Linked DNA regions of Arabidopsis thaliana. The protein of the gene in region 1 purifies or fractionates together with the protein of each later gene. This does not show direct contact. Each region holds a gene or a part of one and is shown in the gene's direction. Other genes may lie near its edges.

Region 1 (6,869 bases):
TCTCAAAGTAGTAGAAATCTCATGAGAGATGAATCTTTAGATACTAGAGAACAGTTGTGTTTTTTCGTTTGAAGAACTTTTAAATCTGCTATAGCGACTTAGCTCATCACTTTTGATACCACACCGGCTCCAACTGTTCTACCTCCTTCCCTTAGAGCAAATCTTTGACCCGTTAAAATCGCAAAATAGAAACAACTTGGATTACTCAAGAAACAACTTGCTTTCTCGCCTTGAAATGGTGATTGGGGTTTAAGTGAGGGTTAATTACTCACGCGAGGGTTTCTCTTGGATCCATCCAGATCCTTTTCTATCCTTTTCTGTGTTCTTCTTACCAGTAAATTCTCAAAGGACGTCGATTGTGGTTTTACACTAATAGTTTCACATCGATTCGTTGCATTATTAAAATCCAATCATAAAATTTCTATTTATACATGCACACATACGGTACATGTTCAATTGAAACATTTTCCCTAACTAGACATGCCAATAAATAATAAGTTGGTTTGGTCCAAAAAATAAAATAATAAGTAAAATTCTACAAAACAAATGGTACAGTTTTGTTAATAACTAGATATTCATCCGGGTACACAACGTATTTATATTTTTGTTAACAAGTTAAAGATTTTATTTTAGTTAATAGTATTTATAAATGATAAACATATTAAGAAGTACACAACGAGCCTATATTTTTCTCAAAAATTTTTATTTTTTTGTTTTAAAGATGATTTATAGATATATGCTATTGCTTTTTTTTATGTATGATACATCTCGAAATGATTTATATAACTAAATTTCTGAAATTTTAAGTTATTTTTTGTATTAATATTGTAAATTTTGTTTAATTTTAGAATTTTACCATAGTATATCATTCCGTATTAATATTGATCCAAACCGTCTCACCATATATCCTAGTTCTGTGAAATTAAACATCATTTTGTCATTTTCTTATAAAGTTCAAATCTATATAATATTTGAAACTTCAAAAAAGTTTTAAATATATTGTATTATATCGTCCCGTATTAATATATTTTTAAATATATATATTATATAAAACTTCATAAGAGTTTTAAAATTATAAATATTAAAACGTTTTAAGAAGTTTTAATTTTAAAAGTTTTACAATTTGTAATATTTAACTTTTTTGGTTCTTCACAAAGGACAGAAATTGAGATTAATTTTGACACAATTAAAGCTCCGAATTCGCAGGGGTCAGTTGATTGATATACTCAAAATAACTGGAGAGAATGACTATCGCAAGATGAATATATTCAAACTTTCCTCAAACCACCTTCTCAAGTAAAATTTAAAAACATATTTTCAAATCAATGTAAAATAGAAACGTTGAAGAGAAAAACAACTGAAGAATGGGGGCAAAGCGCCAGAAACTTGTAAAAACAAGTAAAAGGATTGGCAAAAGTAAGAAAGCACACCACTTTAAAACTAACATTAAGCTTTGGATGATGATGATTCTTCTTCGTCATCTTCATCAATGTCCCAACTTAAATCTTCATCTTCCTCTGCAGCACTCAGACGTTTACGCAGCTCAGCTCTGTTTGGACTACCACCAGACCGACTCGTTTCCTTACCATCTATGCTACTCATATCCTCGATCTCGTCCCATCCCAAATCCTCTTCAGATGGTTGTTGAGTTGATGAAGAAGCAGCCACATCTGGTTTAGCTGAGTCTTGGGATGGAGCAGCCTCATCAGATTTTGGTTTGACAGAATCTTGGATTGGAGCCTCATCAGATGTTGGTTTGACAGAATCTTGGATTGGAGCCTCATCAGACGCAGGAGGAGCAGCATCAACAAATGATTTTTCTTCTGGAACTTCCTCACTATCAGTCTCCTTCTTTTCCTCAGAATCTTTATCTGTCTTCAAACCAACATTGCTCACTTCAGTCACTGAATCTGCACTTGTCACTTCATCTTGCGTGCTCACTTTAGCCACTGAATATGTACTTTCCACTTCATCTTTCACAGTTTCACTCACATCTCCACCACCCATACCATCATTCCCTTCAAGTTTCAACCTTGAAACATCTTTGGTAGCTTCAACAACTTTCTCGCTGCTCTCCTCTTCATCATCAATATCCCAGCTCAATTCTTCTTCATCATCCAGAGAGATGGCTCGTTTCACAAGATTAGCCCTTAAATCCTCAGCTTGCTTGAGCTTGTTAACCCTATAGAAATACCTAAACCAGAAGGTCTCGTGATCAACCATACTCGGAACGACCCTTTTATACACTCCTTTCATATCACCATTTTCCTCCAACAATTTCTCCATCTCCTCAGCTTTTCCATCCAGAGAAAACGCAGATTCCCACTTTTTGTAATCATCTGAATCCTCAGGCTCTTCACAGTAAGTGTTGAGATCTCCTTGAACAGCACGAATCTGAGCATCGAAACGACTATATGGTTTCGAACTGAAGCTATCACGACGACCAAAACTCTGACTACTATTGTTATCAGAAGAATCAGATTCATTACCAGCGGCTAAAATCGCTTCCTTACCTTGAGCAATAATCTCAGCCGTACCTTTTAGCACCGTGTTCCCAAGCTCATCAATCGCATGTCCCACCGTACCAAGCGATCCCTGAGCCACCTCGATCTCTTTCTTCAAACCTGTGCCAAATTCTTCGAGATCTCGTCGGTAGGTTTCAATCACGGATTCGGATCTGGTGGCTAGAGTTTTCATCAGACCACCGAAGCTCCATCCACCGTCGTCGTTAGATTCAGATTGCTCTGGATGTTCTTGCTCTGGATGTTCATGCTCTTCGCTGTGTTTCGGTGAATCGGATTCGGATTCGGTTTCTGGAGGATCTAGGTCTTCCGTGAAGACGGATTTGAAGAAATTCATAGCGTAAAGCTCAGATCTTACCAATCGGTACTCTCAGATAATTTGTTTGATCCGTGAAAGAATCAATTTGAAGAGTGAAGGATTCGAATTAGCGTCAGAAATAGGAAGATCACAAAAGACTTGAAGCTTGTCGCTGCAGAGACGTCTAATTTTTTTCCCATTTTTTTAATGAAGATAAATAATACTTTATTTGGCGTCAATTATCAGATTAATGGGCCAGAAGTTTTATAAATGGGCCAGAAGTTGGATATGTTAGTCCAACAAATAACACAAAACCCTAGAATTCATTCAAGGGAACTAACGTCAAGGTTTTTGCTCTTCTTCTCTCCCAAGTCCCAAACTCGTTTTGCATCGCCATTGTTGTGTTGCTGGAGCTAAATAGAGAGAAAGAGAGAGAGTGTCTGTGATGGTGATGAGAAAGCTACAGTTACCGTTGAGCCAGACGCAGAAGGTTAGGTTTGAGAGAGCAATCGAGCGGCTTCAATCACTGTCGTCGTCGGCTAACTCTGACGCTTCTGTTATCGTCACCGACTCTATTCCCGTCAACCATGACGATGCCTTCCTCAAGTAATTTCATCTCATTCTCCCTTCTGGATTGAAATTTTTGTCAAATTGCGTTTTCACGATTGGTTTTTTCATTAAAGGGGACATGGAACTTCCGAGGTCGATGGTGAGTTGCTCGCGACGGTCTGTGGAGTAGTGGAGCGTGTGGATAAGCTTGTCTATGTACGCACCTTGCGAGCCAGGTCTGTGATTGATCTTTGAATTTGTTTAGTTTCCCAGAAAATGTGAATAGAATGGACTCTCTACTCTGAGATTAAGTAGAACTGATGGTTTTGATGATCTACGTTTTAGGTACAAGCCTGAAGTTGGGGATATTGTGGTAGGCCGTGTCATTGAGGTAGATTTTTGTTTTGGTGTTTGGATTTTTGAAATCGGATTGAGTGAGTAACATAAAGGTTTCAATCACATTGCACAGTTACTGGATTGATCTTTACTTATTCAGGTTGCTCAAAAACGTTGGAGAGTGGAGCTCAACTTCAATCAGGATGGAGTACTGATGCTTTCTTCCATGAACATGCCTGATGGTATTCAGGTACAGTTTGATTCTTGATATTTTGCCATTTGGATGATTGCTTTTGGCTTCAATGATATAAGTTTATTGTTGTTGCCAGAGGCGAAGAACCTCTGTGGATGAACTCAATATGCGGAATATCTTTGTAGAGCATGATGTCGTATGTGTAAGTCCTGTGATTAGTAATGTTCCAATCTTTACATATCTTAACAGTTACGTCAACCTGACTAAAAGGGTTCCCTCTTTGGTTTGTTCAAACTCTTAGGCTGAAGTACGCAACTTTCAGCATGATGGTAGCTTGCAGTTACAAGCCAGAAGTCAGAAGTATGGCAAGGTTGGTTCTCATTTGGTCACATGCTCATGTAGTTATACCTTTCGCTAGTCTCTTCCTCTGAACATTGATTAATCCATGAATCGCTACAGCTCGAGAAGGGACAACTTCTGAAGGTCGATCCTTACTTGGTTAAGAGAAGCAAACATCACTTTCATTACGTAGAAAGTCTTGGGATTGATTTGATTATTGGCTGCAATGGTTTCATATGGGTTGGAGAACATGTCGAAGTGAGAGATCCTATGGCAATAGATGATCAGAAAGATGAGGAAATGATCTCATCCTCCTCCACAGGAAAAGAGCAAAGCCATATTCCACTCGAGACTCGACAAACCATATGCAGAATCGGGAATGCGATACGTGTCTTGTCTAATCTAGGCTTCACCGTGACACTAGAAGTAATCATGGAGACTGTTAACCTCAGTAACTCAAAGAATATTGACATACATGATATGCTTGGATCAGAGTTTCACGTTGTGGTAGCAGAGAATGAAGCTGAAAGAAGACGTACAAAGAGGAAAAAGTGAAAACTACCCCTTTTTGTCACTGATGTATCAGAGACTTGTAACGTGTATTAGATCATTCGGTCTTGTTTGTTACTCAGCTTCTATTGAAAGTTCGAATTTTAATCTGATTGAGATATGTAGTATGATGGATGTGTTTGATACTATTAACTGTACATCAGATTAGATTAGTCGAGTTATGTCTTTTGGAGACGGCTTTCTTCTTTCATTCATGAATTTATCGGTTTCGACTTTTGTAGCTGAAATTCGTTTTGTGAAAGGATCTACAGTTGCAGAAACAACATAGAAAAGATTCGCTGCCCTTTTTAGCTCGGAGAAGGGATAATTGGGAAATGACTAAAATACCCTCATGAGAATCCAAGTAATAACAGCGATTACCAAACCTCTTCTCTCATTCACGAAACAGTGTTCTACGGCCAATTTCTCTCGCTCGCTCCACACTCCCAAAACAATATTCTTCTTCTTCGATTTCTCACTCTCTGTTTGTCGCTACCGATCTTATTTCCCGCTATTTTTGTTCCGGCGCCGTTCTCCTTAAAGTCGCTATTGTCTTCGTTGAAGGTCAGTTTACGGCCTTTTTTAAATCCATTTTGGTGTATTCGTGATTGTTTGTGGGTTGAATGATCGTGCGATTATTTGGGGTTTTTAATTAATTTCGATTCAGTAACGGTTCTGAATTGCATTGCGATTAAGCACTTAATCAGAAAGTAGTACGCTTTAGATTTGAGGAATCTCTGTACATTTACTAGGCAAAAAGTTTACTTTTTTTTTTTGGCGTATTTCTGGGATTGCATTAGTTAGGCGATTGAATCACGTTTCTGAAAGCTACAACTAGGAGATGAAATCATCTCTCTTTTGCATGTATACAGATAATTTAGATGATTTTGGTCTAACATCTTTGATACTTTAATGGTTTTTGCATATGAAACAATTTCGTATCTATGTTCTACGCTTTTTTGTGTGTGTTTAACTTAAGTCGTTCATGTGTAATGGATTAAAAAGGTGATGAGTATAGTTCAAAAGCAAGAAGAGATGAATGGATGTGGTCTCAATGTTGACAAAGTAGAAGCCTTTACAGTGTCACCTCAGGAAAAAGGAAGGAAAAACAAGAGAAAGTTAGCTGATCCTTCTCAACCAAATGCTTCTTCCCTCACTGAATTCCCTCCATATGAGTTACCTTCGTTGAAACCTCAGAACCATTTGAGCGGAAATGGATCGGTTGGGGAAGTTTCTAATCAGCTGCAAGTTGAAGTGTCTGAATCTGTCGAATGGGATGACCCATTTGCCTGTCATCTTGAAGAATTGTTGTCGTCAAATTTGCTCACGCTCTTCCTTGATACAATGAAGCAGCTTATTGATTTAGGCTACACCGATGACGAAGTTCTGAAAGCTGTATCACGCTGTAGGCTGTACTGTGGAGGCAATAATCTTTTGTCAAACATTGTCAATAACACCTTGAGTGCTCTCAAGACTGGAGACGAAGGTGCTGGTTCAGGAGACTATGTGTTTGAGGATTTACAACAGCTTGTTTCCTATACGTTGGTAGAAATGATAAGTCTTATTAAGGAGGTCAGGCCGTCCCTATCAACAGTTGAAGCTATGTGGAGGCTTTTGATGTGCGACTTGAATGTCTTGCAAGCCTTTGAAGCTGAAGGCGATGGATTGGTGAGTTCAAGTAAATTATCTGATTCGGAATCTCTTGGTGCTGAATCTAATCCTCCAAAATCTAGTGACCCAGATAACCCAAAGCCTCCCCAATCCGATCCTCAAAGCAATCGGAATGAGCCACTCAAATTTGGAAACTTCCCAAATACACCGAACTCCAAAAAAACTCAGTCTAGTGGAACAACACCAGGAAAAGAAGTATGCTCGGGTAGCACTGTTTCTTGTCAAGGCATGAGAAGTACATCATTTACTCTAGTCTCTGATGAAAAATTGGTATCTTGTCGAAAAGGCCGTACTAAAAAAGAGATAGCAATGCTTCGGCAAAAATCATGTGTGGAAAAAATTAGGACTTACAGCAAAGGCAGTGGCTATAAGGCGGCAAAGTTTGCATCAGTTGGCAGCTTCCTTTTAGAGA
Region 2 (8,508 bases), about 27 Mb from region 1:
GTTGGTGCAAGGAATCCTATTGAGAAAAGTCTGCATTTTGCATCTGGTTCAGACTCTTCTCCGAGGAAGCCAAGGTTAACTTCCACCTTCAACACTCTGATTGATTTGTATGGAAAGGCAGGTCGTTTAAACGATGCTGCTAATCTCTTCTCGGAGATGTTGAAATCTGGAGTACCTATAGATACTGTAACGTTTAACACGATGATACATACTTGTGGAACTCATGGGCATTTGTCAGAGGCTGAATCCTTGTTGAAGAAGATGGAAGAGAAAGGGATATCCCCTGATACTAAGACATATAATATCCTTTTGTCTCTTCATGCTGATGCTGGGGACATTGAGGCAGCTCTTGAGTACTATAGGAAAATTAGGAAAGTAGGACTTTTTCCTGATACTGTAACTCATCGAGCTGTTCTTCATATCTTGTGTCAGCGGAAAATGGTTGCAGAAGTTGAAGCTGTGATAGCTGAGATGGACAGAAATAGCATTCGCATTGATGAGCACTCTGTTCCTGTTATTATGCAGATGTATGTCAATGAAGGTTTAGTCGTACAGGCAAAAGCTCTGTTTGAGAGGTTCCAGTTGGATTGTGTGCTTTCGTCAACGACACTTGCAGCAGTTATTGATGTCTATGCTGAAAAGGGACTGTGGGTTGAAGCGGAGACTGTGTTCTATGGGAAAAGAAACATGTCAGGCCAGAGGAATGATGTTTTGGAGTACAATGTCATGATCAAGGCTTATGGTAAGGCCAAACTTCATGAGAAAGCACTTTCTCTCTTCAAAGGGATGAAGAACCAAGGGACTTGGCCTGATGAGTGCACTTACAATTCCCTATTCCAGATGCTTGCTGGGGTTGATTTAGTGGACGAAGCCCAGCGGATCTTGGCTGAAATGCTGGATTCGGGCTGTAAACCTGGATGCAAGACCTATGCTGCTATGATAGCTAGCTATGTGCGGCTTGGCCTGTTGTCTGATGCAGTTGACCTGTACGAGGCAATGGAAAAAACAGGGGTGAAACCGAATGAAGTTGTTTATGGTTCCTTAATTAATGGGTTTGCTGAGAGTGGAATGGTCGAAGAAGCGATTCAATACTTTAGAATGATGGAAGAACATGGCGTTCAGTCCAATCATATCGTTCTGACTTCCCTTATCAAGGCTTATAGCAAAGTGGGGTGTCTTGAAGAAGCTAGGAGAGTGTATGACAAAATGAAGGATTCAGAAGGTGGCCCAGATGTTGCTGCATCAAACAGCATGCTAAGTCTGTGTGCAGATCTTGGCATAGTTTCTGAAGCAGAATCCATTTTCAATGCTCTCAGAGAAAAAGGCACATGTGATGTTATTTCGTTTGCAACAATGATGTACTTGTACAAGGGCATGGGCATGCTCGACGAGGCTATTGAAGTGGCTGAAGAAATGAGAGAGTCTGGTCTACTAAGTGACTGCACTTCATTTAATCAGGTTATGGCTTGCTACGCTGCTGATGGGCAGTTAAGTGAATGCTGTGAACTGTTTCATGAGATGTTAGTTGAAAGAAAGCTCTTGCTGGATTGGGGAACATTTAAAACGCTCTTCACGCTCTTGAAGAAAGGTGGGGTGCCAAGTGAAGCTGTGTCGCAGCTACAAACCGCATACAATGAAGCTAAACCACTGGCAACACCAGCAATCACTGCAACTCTGTTCTCAGCCATGGGTTTGTATGCATATGCGCTGGAATCATGCCAAGAGCTCACAAGTGGTGAAATTCCTCGCGAGCATTTTGCATACAACGCAGTGATATACACTTATAGTGCATCAGGAGACATTGACATGGCCCTAAAGGCATACATGAGAATGCAGGAAAAAGGTCTAGAACCAGATATTGTCACGCAAGCCTACCTTGTTGGGATATACGGGAAAGCGGGAATGGTGGAAGGTGTGAAGAGGGTACATAGCCGGCTGACGTTTGGGGAGCTTGAACCAAGCCAATCGTTGTTTAAAGCAGTTAGAGATGCTTATGTGAGTGCAAACAGACAGGACTTGGCTGATGTGGTGAAGAAAGAGATGAGCATTGCTTTTGAAGCTGAAAGGGAGTGTAGTTCAAGATCTGGAGAAGAAGAAGAAGACGATGAAGAGGAAAATTCTGAAGAAGACGAGGCATTTTGAAGTGTAGCCACAGATGTATGTAAGAAATATTGTAGAATATAGGATTTAGTGGAAATGGACTGTACAGTTTCACAGAAGCCAAAGGAAATATGCATACTTAAGCCTCAGATTGATCTCTGGTAAAGAAATGTGTATCTTAAAACTGTTATAGAAAGAAAAAAAAAGGTTCCACAGGGTCAAATCTATAAAAGCGAGCACCTTTGGCTATGGTTTTGGTAGAGGAATTAGCATACGCTCCTTACAACAATAGATTGATTTGCATCATCGGGTTGGTCTTCTGTTGGTTTTGGTCTCTGGATTGAACATCTTTCTCCTGTCTTGCTTGCTCTTATTTTCAATTGTATAGCATCAAAGCCCATGAAAAGAGCCAGATGTTCTGGAATTGATTCCAATTTGGAATCTTGTCAGTTACTGGTGATGAATATCAACATGGAAGATATGAAACAGAGTAGCCAGCAAATTCCTTCCATTCGGAACAAAGAGTCTCTCAGCTTCAGTCAAAGTATATCAGTTATTGATCTCAAGAAAGTAATAGTAGTGAGCAATGAAGATGATGATGGAGCTCTAGAGTTGAAGAACAGAGGAGTGGAACGAACCAGTGGAGAACTCTTGAAGACCACAGTGTCAATGTGTTTATTGTTGTCTTTGTCTTTCTCTAAAAGTTGTAAAAAAAAAGGGTGTGAAGCTAAAGCTAAATGGTATGTAAGCAATGTTTTGCAATTTTAAATTTACAAAATAACACTCGGAGTTTCTGAAAGTTTAATTTTGACCCATAATATTTGATATTTGAGGCATTGTCCTGGAATTAAAACCAAATTGAAACTCCTTCGCGTGTGTTTTCTGCTGCATTTTTACCTCTTAGCGTCTCCGGCGAAAACCCACTACGACTGAGTATGGCGCTCGAAATCGAAGCTCGAGAGTAAGATTTCGCTTTCTCTTACAAACCCTAGTTTTCGTTTAGTGTCACTGATATGAATTGTGCTCCAAGAACCATCGTTTACGAATGCTCAGATGGATCTTAGGTTACATGTTTGGAGAAAACATCTTGAATGTTGGTTTTTTTATATCCTCCATACTAAAGTTGTGGTTTTTAAATCTACCCATAATTTGTTTTAGCTTGGTTCTTCTAAAGCTAATTGCTTCTGAATATCTAGATTCCTCCGTAGCTATTCTTCGTTTAAATTAACGTCGTATACGAAAATTTGAGGGAGATCATCGTTAGAGTGTTTTGATTCTTTGCAATGCGTCTCGAGGAAAAATCCAATTTGTATAAATTTGAACTCTTGTTAATTCTCGGCTTGGATTGAAACCATTGACAGTATTATTAGCCATTTTGTTAGTAATATTGGATGGAGAACGTTTTGATGCTATATGTCAGCTTTGTGTAGATCTTCATCCCTAATAGCTCTCTATTGTGTTGAATGTCTCAGTGTAATAAAGATTATGCTTCAGTTCTGCAAAGAAAATTCCTTGAATCAGACATTCCAGACATTACAAAGCGAGTGTCAGGTTTCCTTGAATACAGTAGACAGCGTCGAGACGTTTATTTCTGATATTAATAGTGGAAGATGGGACTCGGTACTACCTCAAGTTTCCCAGCTTAAACTTCCCAGGAATAAACTTGAAGACCTTTATGAACAGGTTTGTTCTTTTACTCTGTGAAATGTAGAAGTGTATAAAAATAGTGATTGTCATTGTAAGTTTTGTTTATTTTCGGGGTGATTTTTTCAGATTGTATTGGAGATGATAGAACTTCGAGAGTTGGACACTGCCCGAGCTATTTTGAGACAAACTCAGGTGATGGGTGTCATGAAGCAGGAGCAAGCAGAAAGATATTTGCGGATGGAGCATCTTCTAGTCAGAAGCTATTTTGATCCGCATGAGGTATGGAAACTATATTATGCTCGACTATTCAATATCACGTTGGGTGTTGCTTTTGTTGTTGCTGTGTCACCTAAGCATGGTTGTCCGCAACTGTTCAACAGTTCAAACAATGTTGCTATATCTGTTATCTCTTGCATTTTCTGTACTCTACTTGCGACTTTTGATATCTTTCAAAATCTTAAGTAGAACCAGTGAGCGGTTAAACATGAAGTTGTTTCTAGATGAGGGTCTCAAAGTATAACACATGCTCGTATTTCTGAGTACAAAAGTATCTTTACATGTTACTAGCTCTTTTACATGTTGATGGATTTGACTTTTCTATCTGATTAGTCTTTTGAGGTGTATTGTCTCCTAGTCATTGTTCATGTTATGCACAAAGAGTGGCGTTTTTCATGTAATCATTTCCTTGTGATAATCATGGTTTGCTAATTTTACCTTTGTTTCTAAGGCTTATGGAGACTCAACTAAAGAAAGAAAACGGGCACAGATTGCTCAAGGTTGGCCATTTCTTCTTTATTTTCTACAATAACAATTTTCTTCAGTTATTGTATGATTAATTACCTGAAGGAACCAAGTGATGTTCTGGAATACTCTCTCTATTGCATGCTTAAATATTATTATGACATGAAAAGAAGTTATGACGAGAACTTATTTCCTGTTTAATGGTTATAGAGTTTTTGTTTTCTCTTGCTCAGTATGTACTCAAGGTTCACTAATTGTTTGTTCTCCTACTCGATCAGCTGTGGCTGCCGAGGTTACCGTGGTACCACCTTCACGGTTAATGGCTTTGATAGGTCAGGCTTTAAAGTGGCAACAACATCAAGGTGATTATCTAAGGAACTGTGGATGCTACCAAACAGTTCTGTCAAACTTCATCTCGTTTTCTTTTACTTTTTTGCCTACATTACTAATATATCAATGGAATCAACATATGTACCCTCTCTCATTTCCTAAAATTTACATACACTTGTGTCAGGCCTGCTCCCTCCAGGAACACAGTTTGACCTCTTTCGTGGGACGGCAGCTATGAAGCAAGATGTAGAAGACACACATCCTAATGTTCTTACTCATACCATAAAGGTTCATATTCACACTTTAATAGCTTCTTTAGCTTAGTGGTCTATGATCTGTTGCTCATGATTATTTTGGGTTTTCTCATCAGTTGAGTTCTTGTCTAATTTTCATATCTTTTTCCTTGTGCTGGTGCTGGTGCAGTTTGGTAAAAAGAGTCATGCAGAATGCGCTAGATTCTCACCAGATGGACAGTTTCTTGCATCTTCTTCTGTGGATGGTTTTATCGAGGTGAGTTGATCCGGAATCTGTATGTATGATAATACAAGTTATTAGTCTTTAAAATAATTCTGTGACTAGGATTGCTCAGACTTGAAAAGCATTACAGGTATGGGATTACATAAGTGGAAAGCTCAAGAAGGATTTGCAATATCAAGCTGATGTAAGCTCTCATGTCTTCTTTTCATTTTTTAATTCTAACTCAGTACGGGGTCAGATGAGCTGTTAGTACATTTTAATCAAATGAAAATAATCCTTACTGCATCTGATTATTGAACGTGTGACAAGTCTGTGAGAATGATATGGTGGATTACTTTTTGCTTTTTATTCCAAAAATGTCGCCCATGAGATTCCTGAAGCACCAAGTATATGGTGGATTACTGTTATCTTTGAATTTTAATTTTTTCTCCAATGTAACTCCTAAAGCACCAAGTATCTCGTCTGAGACTTCCTGGTATACAAAATATCAGTTTTGGATAAAGAGTTCCCATTCCATCCTCTTTACTTACTATGATTAATTTCTGACAGGAATCTTTCATGATGCATGATGATCCTGTCCTCTGCATAGACTTTAGCAGAGATTCAGAGATGCTTGCATCTGGGTCACAAGATGGAAAGATTAAAGTAAGTTCCAGCTGCATATGTTTCCTTAAAGTTGAATTTTTTGTCTGAAGATAGACTATTGCGGCAGTTTGGTAGATATATCTTCTTCCTCTCATTGGTCCCATATGTATTCTGATTGAATACAAATAGAAAAACTAGACTTAGATGCATGTCACTTTTGCAGATCTGGCGTATAAGGACTGGTGTATGCATACGTCGTTTTGATGCACATTCCCAAGGAGTTACAAGTCTTTCCTTCTCTCGGGATGGAAGCCAATTACTGAGTACCTCCTTTGACCAAACTGCAAGGTTTTATTAGTTATATCTTTATTTTTTTATTTTGTACTTGCGATATGAATCTCGTCCTATCAAAAACTTGAGGCTTTATATTTCTTTGATGGTAGAATATTCTTTTAACTTTTGATTGCATCTTTTTTCTTCTTGTTTTTGTTAATATTTTCCTTTTCATTTGGTAGTTATGTAAGTTTATTGGTAGAGCTTCTAGTCGAATATAATATCAAATTCTTATTATATATTTTGCTTTATTTTATGCAGAATCCATGGTTTGAAATCTGGGAAATTGTTGAAAGAATTTCGTGGTCACACATCTTATGTAAATCATGCCATCTTTACAAGTGATGGAAGCCGTATTATCACTGCCTCCAGTGATTGTACAGTAAAGGTAAATTCTTCGGCTTTGGCTGTCAGCAGTATCATTGTTTCTCATTTGGACTCTCTGCCCCTTCTGCCGTGTAATAACAGTCTTGTTTCCTTGCACAGGTCTGGGATTCTAAGACGACAGATTGTCTACAAACATTCAAGCCGCCACCTCCGTTAAGGGTATCTTTTCTTATACAGATTTATGTACATCTTGTAATACTTTTTCTGATCTTCTGTGGCAAACTCTTTGGTTACCAAGTCTGAATTTTGAAATATAGGGAACTGATGCATCAGTCAACTCTATTCACTTGTTCCCCAAAAACACAGAACACATTGTTGTGTGCAACAAGACATCATCTATATACATTATGACACTCCAAGGACAGGTAAATTTCCAGCAACGGTCTCCTGCAAATCAGTGTCATTGTCATGCCAAAACTAAGATTGTTCACATGCTTCTATATTGGAATCCTTTTGCAGGTTGTGAAGAGTTTCTCATCCGGTAATAGGGAAGGAGGAGATTTTGTAGCAGCATGTGTATCTACAAAAGGAGATTGGATATACTGCATCGGCGAAGACAAGTAACACTCTAACCTCCTATATCTATCGTTTTATTTTTGGATAAGTTCCACGAGTTTGATTTCAAAGGATAATCTTATGGTTCCTTTCTTTTCGGGTTTCATCTTCTGCCTTTGATGTTCGTAATGGTGTTTGCACCTACAGGAAACTGTACTGCTTCAACTATCAATCTGGTGGACTTGAGCATTTCATGATGGTAAGTTTATATCCGTAACAGACATGCTCCAAAAGATTTTGGATGTTGGAAATTTGAAAGTTGCATTTGAGACAAACACATAACAGTAACTCACTAGAGTAATGAAGTCCCTTGTGTGTTATAATGTTTGATTCATCTGTTCTCCATTTTAGAGCTCAGATTATCATCCTCTCTCTCTCTCTCTTAATACTTATCTTAGTTGTCTTTTATTAGACCTGGTTTCTGAATAGTTTATGCTTATGACAGGTGCATGAGAAGGATGTGATTGGTATAACACACCACCCGCATAGAAACCTCCTTGCTACCTATAGTGAAGATTGCACTATGAAGTTATGGAAGCCCTGAGTTTTCTCATCATCAAGTCTTGTTTTCTGTATGATTAGTCTGTCTTTATTTGATTTGCACTCTTCTCGGGTTAGAACTAGTGTAATGTGAAACCATCTTTGCAAAGATCTCAGCCATTTTGGGAACACTACCCACAGACTCTAAAACCAGCATTTCAGATTTTAAGACCGTTTCACCTGGCCTTGAGCCTTGTAGTAGTTTATTTAACAACGTGTCTCCTTCCTCTTTGACCTTCCCAGCCAGTCAACTCCCATATACTTTTTAGTCTTAGGAAAGAATAAAGTCAAGCTCAAAAATATATAAAAAAAAATGAAAACTTGGGAAGTTCAAAAGAAACAAATAATGATTCTCTTAACTTGATGAATTACTCACAGGTAAATTTACAAATGATGATACGCTAACTGCTTTCCCTAGAGACCATTACAACGGGCAAAGCAGTTCTTCTGGCAACTTATTCAAAAGGAAAATTGTTTCTCTTAACAAATCTAAGAAAATATTATAAGAAAAAAAGAGGAAGAATATAAGATCAGAAGAAATGAAGAAGAGAAAGTAACTGTACTAGCCAGACTATTGCCATGTCCTTTTGAACCTACAAAAATAACAGTAAAACAAAATACATCAAATCTATAAACTAAGATCAAATATATGAGATGGTGTTGTGTAATAAAAAAAAAACTTACTATGTAATCTCCCAAAAAAAATGGCAAGACACTAAGCTCCAAACCATGAGAAATCATCACCAAAACCACCATAGTCAAAGTCCAAGTCAGTCAATGGAGACAGAATGCCACTCTGATACTGAGGCAACT
Region 3 (5,915 bases), on another chromosome or scaffold:
GTAAGAGACAACACAACTGAGACTGGAACATGTTACACTTTCAGAAACTCCTCCAAGAGGAAAGAAAACTACTAGAGAACACAGTTGCGGCTAGAAAGAAGCTGCTTAGTGACTGCAGAATTCTCCACGACCGGCTTAAAGAGTACAACTTAAATTTGTCAATGGATGGAAACGGTAACTTTGTCGACGACTCAACTACAATATCAGACGTTTTGCGTTTACTGTCAATATCTGATGATCAAATTGAGGAGGTATTGCTGCATCACTGCTTTATTGCCATTTAAAATCAGTTTCCTCTAATAAGAGTTACTTTTCACGATATGTCCATCAGGATGAAGTTATTTATTACTTATTAGTGTAGGATAGTTAGGTTTCCGCTGCACTAATGAAAACTGTAACGTTGTGCATTTTACAAGTTTTAACGATTTAGACCATTTTCAGGCTCAGCTACTTTCTGGGTTTGACGAAAATGCTGCTGCTGAAGACATCGATAAAACTCTCAGCATGGATACTGAAACAAGAATTATGGAGGACGAGCTGAGGAAGATACTGGCAAACATTTTTGTTGAGAATGCGAAATTGAGAAAACAGGTGAACTCTGCAATGCTCCGTGCTCTCCAAAAAGACGTAAAGACCACTGAAGATGTGAATGAGGAAAATAGTGATGAGAAAGATGAAGCATCAAGAGAAACATTGAAGAGATAGGTAATAATAATAATAGTCGCTTTGACCTGAGAATAGACTGCCATTTTTTTTTCTCTATAAGCAAAGGACTGGTCGCTTTATAATACAAAACGGTTGGTCTCTTGGAGGAGCAAATTAGTTGAAGCTGAGTGTTGTGTAATCGATATATATACACACACGTGACACCACCCTTTTGAGAGTACATAAGGCAAAAAGATGTGTATTAAGTATGTTTGTTGTATAATTGTATTGCACTCTGTTGCATATATTTATTGTGATCCGAACTCAGTTCTTGCAAACAAAGTTGGAATTGTAAGGATTTAGGTTATACAAATTGTGTCAATTGATCATCATTGTCCTCAAGTATAAAGCATGTTTCTTTCTTGAAGCAGAATTTGTGGCTTCTTTCTCCAGGTATTTCAGACATTTCTTTATAGCAAGCAATTTTGAGGGAAGAAAACTGAAACTAGATAGAGAATATTAAATGCTAAAAACCTTTATCATCATCTTTGGACAGGATGAAGAAGTTAATGACATTTCCTTTAGCGCTCATAGAGCACACTCAAAAGTCTATGTGCGTGAATCCAGCTCATTCTCTAATGGTTTCAATAAGTTTTGATTAGTTGATAAAGTTACAAGGGGCAATTATAACAGTTTTCAAATTATTGAAACACTTAGGTGTATTATCACAAAAATAAAAAGTTAGGTGTCATTGGCAATTTAATACAAGTTTCTAATTTGATGATATACATGCATTAAACGTGCTTTGCAGTTTGTGCATATAACGAAATTTAGTGTGTATTTTAAAAAGCATCTCCTTACTTGTGCCCTGAAGTGTATGCTTATAAATTTAGTTCTCATTGTGTCAGCAAACTGTGTGTTATCAATTGCCTTACTCCAATGGCTTCAATAAGCTTACTTCAAGTTTCCGTAGCTATCCTTTGCTTTCTCATCCTTCATTACTTTCTCTTCAAGAAACCTCATGGCCGGTACCCTAGGAACTGGCCGGTTCTCCGGATGCTACCCGCTATGCTCAAGGCGCTTCACCGAATCTACGACTACAGCGTGAAGATTCTCGAAACCTCTGACTTGACCTTTCCATTCAAAGGACCGCGGTTCACAGGAATGGATATGTTGCTCACGGTTGATCCAGCTAACATTCATCATATAATGAGCTCAAATTTCTCAAACTACATCAAAGGACCGGAGTTCCAAGATGTTTTTGATGTGTTAGGAGACAGTTTCATCACCACGGACTCGGAGCTATGGAAGAATATGAGGAAATCTTATCAAGCCATGCTCCATAGTCAAGAGTTTCAAAGGTTTTCAATGAGTACCATGACAAGTAAACTCAAGTACGGTCTTGTTCCCCTTCTTAATCATTTTGCTGAGGAAGGAACAACTCTTGACTTGCAAAGCGTCTTCGGGAGGTTCACTTTCGATACAATTTTCATCCTTGTAACTGGTTCTGATCCTAGATCTCTCTCCATTGAAATGCCTGAAGACGAATTTGCTAAAGCTCTCGACGATGTTGGAGAAGGGATTCTTTATAGGCATTTTAAACCAAGGTTCTTGTGGAAGCTGCAAAACTGGATAGGATTCGGACAAGAGAAGAAGCTCACTGAAGCTAATGCAACTTTTGACCGCGTGTGTGCCAAATACATATCAGCCAAGAGAGAAGAGATTAAAAGATCACAAGGGACTTCCAATGGAGGAAGTCAGGATCTTTTAACTTCCTTCATAAAGCTAGACACGACCAAGTACAAGCTCTTGAATCCGAGTGACGATAAGTTCCTTAGAGACAACATCTTAGCTTTCATTCTAGCGGGAAGAGACACAACAGCCACCGCTCTCTCTTGGTTCTTCTGGCTTCTCTCTGAAAATCCACATGTGGTAGCCAAGATTCATCAAGAGATCAACATCAACACTGATCTATCAAGAACAGGAAATAGCCAAGAGAATGTAGACAAGTTGGTGTATTTACATGGTGCGTTGTGTGAAGCAATGAGACTCTACCCACCAGTTTCCTTCGGACGCAAGTCTCCAATCAAATCAGATGTGCTTCCAAGTGGCCATAAAGTTGATGCAAACTCTAAGATTATTATCTGTCTTTATGCATTGGGGAGGATGCGAGCGGTTTGGGGAGAAGATGCATCGCAGTTCAAGCCAGAGAGATGGATTTCGGAGAATGGAGGCATAAAACATGAGCCTTCCTTCAAGTTTTTGTCGTTTAATGCCGGTCCAAGAACTTGTCTAGGTAAACATCTAGCTATGACTCAAATGAAGATAGTGGCAGTGGAGATATTACGAAACTACGACATTAAGGTTCTCCAAGGACAGAAGATTGTGCCAGCTCTTGGTTTTATATTGTCAATGAAACATGGTCTTCAAATCACTGTTACTAAGAGATGTTCTGCTTGAAATTATTCATGTATTAAATAAAAAAATCATTTTGGTTTGGTTTTGATTTGGTTCTTAGTTTTTTTTTTTAGTTTTACGGTTTAAGTAAACCGAAATCCTAATATTGACTGGTTCGGTATAGTTTTGGTTCAAAATTTGCGTGCAAAAAAAAGAAGAGACTGTGCAGTGTTGTTCCTTTCTGGGTTCTCATCGTCGTCAAGGAACAAGCTTTAACAGAGTTTAACATATATTAGGGTTCTTATCTCCAAAACCCACCTCACTCATGGCTGCCAAAGTTTCTGTCTCTCCCACAAGCCTCTTAAATCAGATTGTGGTCCGTATATCTCTAAAAAGTTGGCTTTTTTATGATTTCGATTCGATTTGGTTACAATGAAGCATGGTGTTTTCAATTTTTAGGTTCCAGGTGATGTTGTTCTTGATTTGTCAAACATGAATAACCAAACAATCAAGCTCGGAAGTGGCCTTCTTCAGGTTTCATCTTCTTCTCTTTCTTATGTGTTGTTTGAATCCTAACAATTATTCCAGTGGGCACTTGATTTGTGATATACAATTGCAACTAAAAAGGAATTGTAGATTGACATGTGTTTGTTTTTTTGGCTTATTTTAGGATAATGATGCTATCTCTGCCATGAGAGCTGGCAAATTAAGTTACTCCAAGCCTAATAAGTATTGGCTCGAAAGTTCTCATAAACGGGTGAGCTCAGTGGTCTTACTAATCTTCCCTTTCTGGTTGCTTCTCTATTGAGCTTCTTGTGGATTATAACTGTGTCATCTGCTCGGATACTAGGTCCACTTGATTAATCATGAGTAGAAAAGTAACAAATAACCTGGCACAATTGCATCATGAAGAATTGAAGATTTGCCTTTTGTAGCATTTTGACAATTTGATGCTTTTGTGGATCATTCTTGCTAGTTTTCTCCCTAGTTATTTGATCATATACATCTGGCTTGATAAGACAATTTACCATTTTTGGTTTTCAAAACTCTAGTAGAATATTGTTTTGTTAATTATCTATGTAAGTCTCGTTCTCTTTGTTGCTGACTCTGTTATTATGTTTTTTTTTTGCAGTATATACCTCGCCCTGATGATCATGTTCTTGGAATCGTGGTCGATTCTAGGGCAGATGTAAGTCCTTTGAAATCATTGCTTGTATAGATTCTTGTGTTGTTTTTGGATCCCTCTCAGACTGGTCATCTCTGAAAGCATTTTATTATACTTTAGTTGTCAAATACGATACAAATATATGTTTGTCAGTTTCCGCGACTTCAGTCCTCATTTCTCTGAGCCAATAAAGGTGAACTTGTTTGTTGATGGTCTTGGATCAGTAAATAAATAGGTGGGAGTATTGAAGTTATGGTCTAAAATCAGAAGAAAACTGATACCATTATTGGACAAACAAATGTTAATTGACTTTTAAATTATCAGCTGCAGTTAAGCTTTCTTGCATGAACTAACATCGCCTTAGTAAGTACTGAATTGTTTCTTTTACTCATCATGTCATTGCAGAATTTTTGGGTGGACATTAAAGGACCTCAATTAGCACTTTTGCCAGTTCTTGCATTCGAAGGAGGAACACGAAGAAATATTCCCAAGTTTGAGGCATGTACATTCTGATGACTCAGGAAGCTCTCTTGAATTCTCATTTGGGATATGACATTCTCTATGAATTGATTGTTTCTGGAATGTTCAAATTTTTGTGTACTAAACAGGTAGGCACTCTGCTTTATCTCCGGGTTGTCAAGACAAACATAGGAATGAATCCGGAGCTGTCTTGTACCGAGGGTAAGTTAAAAGCTTTGGAGGCTAAAACAGTGCTGCTTCTCTTAATCCCTTTTAAACTAATTGTCTCTTGTTTCTATGTATTAGCTAGTGGGAAAGCTGCATTATTTGGACCCTTGAGAGATGGTTTCATGTTTGAAACTTCAACTGGTCTTTCAAGAATGTGAGATATACTTCCTCATAAAAAATGTCTCCTTATACTTTATCTATCTTCTTTCGCCATTACAACTTTACTTTCTCATCTCTTATAGGCTGTTGAATTCACCAACGCGCCCGGTCATTGAGGCTCTTGGAAAGAAACTCTCGTTCGAGATAGCTGTGGGCTTAAATGGCAGAGTTTGGGTAAATGCGACAGCTCCACGTATAGTCATTATCGTGGCCAATGCAATAATGAACTCGGAATCTCTAAGTGGGACTCAGCAGAGAATCATGGTTGAGAAATTGCTCGCGATAATTTCAGACTAAACGTTATTGTTCTTGAAATGTAACTGAACCCTCATGATGCTCTTTATAGCAAGTGATTTTGATTCATTCAAATACAATTTTATACAGTAAAAGTGTAGTCTAAATAAAAATACATATGCCACATGACGAATGCTTAATCTGTATACAACAGTAGTCTAAAGGTTGAAGAAATGATACATAACATTGTTAAAGCGAGGGAGGCTCGTATCTGCATACACAATCATATATGTTTCCTTTTATCAACTTCTCAGCCAATCTCTGATTTTTAACCATTGCTAGCTGCCAAAAAGGAAGAGAAGGTTTCAGCCAAAAGTTTCAATAACAGTTCTAGAGCTGAAATTTTCTGTCAAGTGAGGTTTAAACCTTGAGAGCCTCGCATTGGAATTGAGCGTTGAAGTTGGTGTGAAGTGCTCTTCCCATACCTTCCAAGACAACCTGCAATATTGTTAAACATCAAATAAAGAACAAAGCTTCTCTTTTTTGATGTGTTTGAAGTTTATGTCAGGTAGAAAACAGAGAAGGTTTTGTAGATACAAGATCAGCGTCTTTGGCAGCGGCTGCAAGC

Evidence for each region.
Region 2: the proteins of RRP4 (region 1) and SMU1 fractionate together in Arabidopsis thaliana (co-fractionation; one large-scale study listed by BioGRID). This does not show direct contact.
Region 3: the proteins of RRP4 (region 1) and AT4G32175 fractionate together in Arabidopsis thaliana (co-fractionation; one large-scale study listed by BioGRID). This does not show direct contact.

Annotation. Positions count from the first base shown.
Region 1 is NC_003070.9:821,388-828,256, forward strand, and holds RRP4 (ribosomal RNA processing 4), read left to right. Parts: upstream 1-3,129; 5' UTR 3,130-3,265; coding exon 3,266-3,426; intron 3,427-3,503; coding exon 3,504-3,605; intron 3,606-3,714; coding exon 3,715-3,760; intron 3,761-3,865; coding exon 3,866-3,955; intron 3,956-4,034; coding exon 4,035-4,100; intron 4,101-4,199; coding exon 4,200-4,268; intron 4,269-4,357; coding exon 4,358-4,792; 3' UTR 4,793-5,012; downstream 5,013-6,869. Other genes in the region: AT1G03350 (BSD domain-containing protein), read right to left, coding at 1,447-2,859; AT1G03365 (RING/U-box superfamily protein), read left to right, coding at 5,795-6,869. UniProt on the Arabidopsis thaliana protein: Non-catalytic component of the RNA exosome complex which has 3'->5' exoribonuclease activity and participates in a multitude of cellular RNA processing, maturation and degradation events.
Region 2 is NC_003070.9:27,722,024-27,730,531, forward strand, and holds SMU1 (transducin family protein / WD-40 repeat family protein), read left to right. Parts: upstream 1-2,967; 5' UTR 2,968-3,035; coding exon 3,036-3,061; intron 3,062-3,572; coding exon 3,573-3,783; intron 3,784-3,873; coding exon 3,874-4,026; intron 4,027-4,474; coding exon 4,475-4,523; intron 4,524-4,766; coding exon 4,767-4,850; intron 4,851-5,002; coding exon 5,003-5,106; intron 5,107-5,241; coding exon 5,242-5,328; intron 5,329-5,425; coding exon 5,426-5,479; intron 5,480-5,844; coding exon 5,845-5,940; intron 5,941-6,103; coding exon 6,104-6,228; intron 6,229-6,474; coding exon 6,475-6,601; intron 6,602-6,699; coding exon 6,700-6,759; intron 6,760-6,857; coding exon 6,858-6,965; intron 6,966-7,059; coding exon 7,060-7,160; intron 7,161-7,302; coding exon 7,303-7,354; intron 7,355-7,600; coding exon 7,601-7,699; 3' UTR 7,700-8,008; downstream 8,009-8,508. Other genes in the region: AT1G73710 (Pentatricopeptide repeat (PPR) superfamily protein), read left to right, coding at 1-2,142; EIL3 (ETHYLENE-INSENSITIVE3-like 3), read right to left, coding at 8,411-8,508. UniProt on the Arabidopsis thaliana protein: Auxiliary spliceosomal protein involved in splicing of specific pre-mRNAs that affect multiple aspects of development. Required for proper accumulation of SMU2.
Region 3 is NC_003075.7:15,532,188-15,538,102, forward strand, and holds AT4G32175 (PNAS-3-like protein), read left to right. Parts: upstream 1-3,246; 5' UTR 3,247-3,367; coding exon 3,368-3,418; intron 3,419-3,501; coding exon 3,502-3,576; intron 3,577-3,712; coding exon 3,713-3,799; intron 3,800-4,174; coding exon 4,175-4,231; intron 4,232-4,612; coding exon 4,613-4,705; intron 4,706-4,815; coding exon 4,816-4,888; intron 4,889-4,972; coding exon 4,973-5,048; intron 5,049-5,136; coding exon 5,137-5,350; 3' UTR 5,351-5,415; downstream 5,416-5,915. Other genes in the region: AT4G32160 (Phox (PX) domain-containing protein), read left to right, coding at 45-251, 442-705; CYP96A2 (cytochrome P450, family 96, subfamily A, polypeptide 2), read left to right, coding at 1,585-3,105; PANK2 (pantothenate kinase 2), read right to left, coding at 5,537-5,629, 5,714-5,785, 5,885-5,915.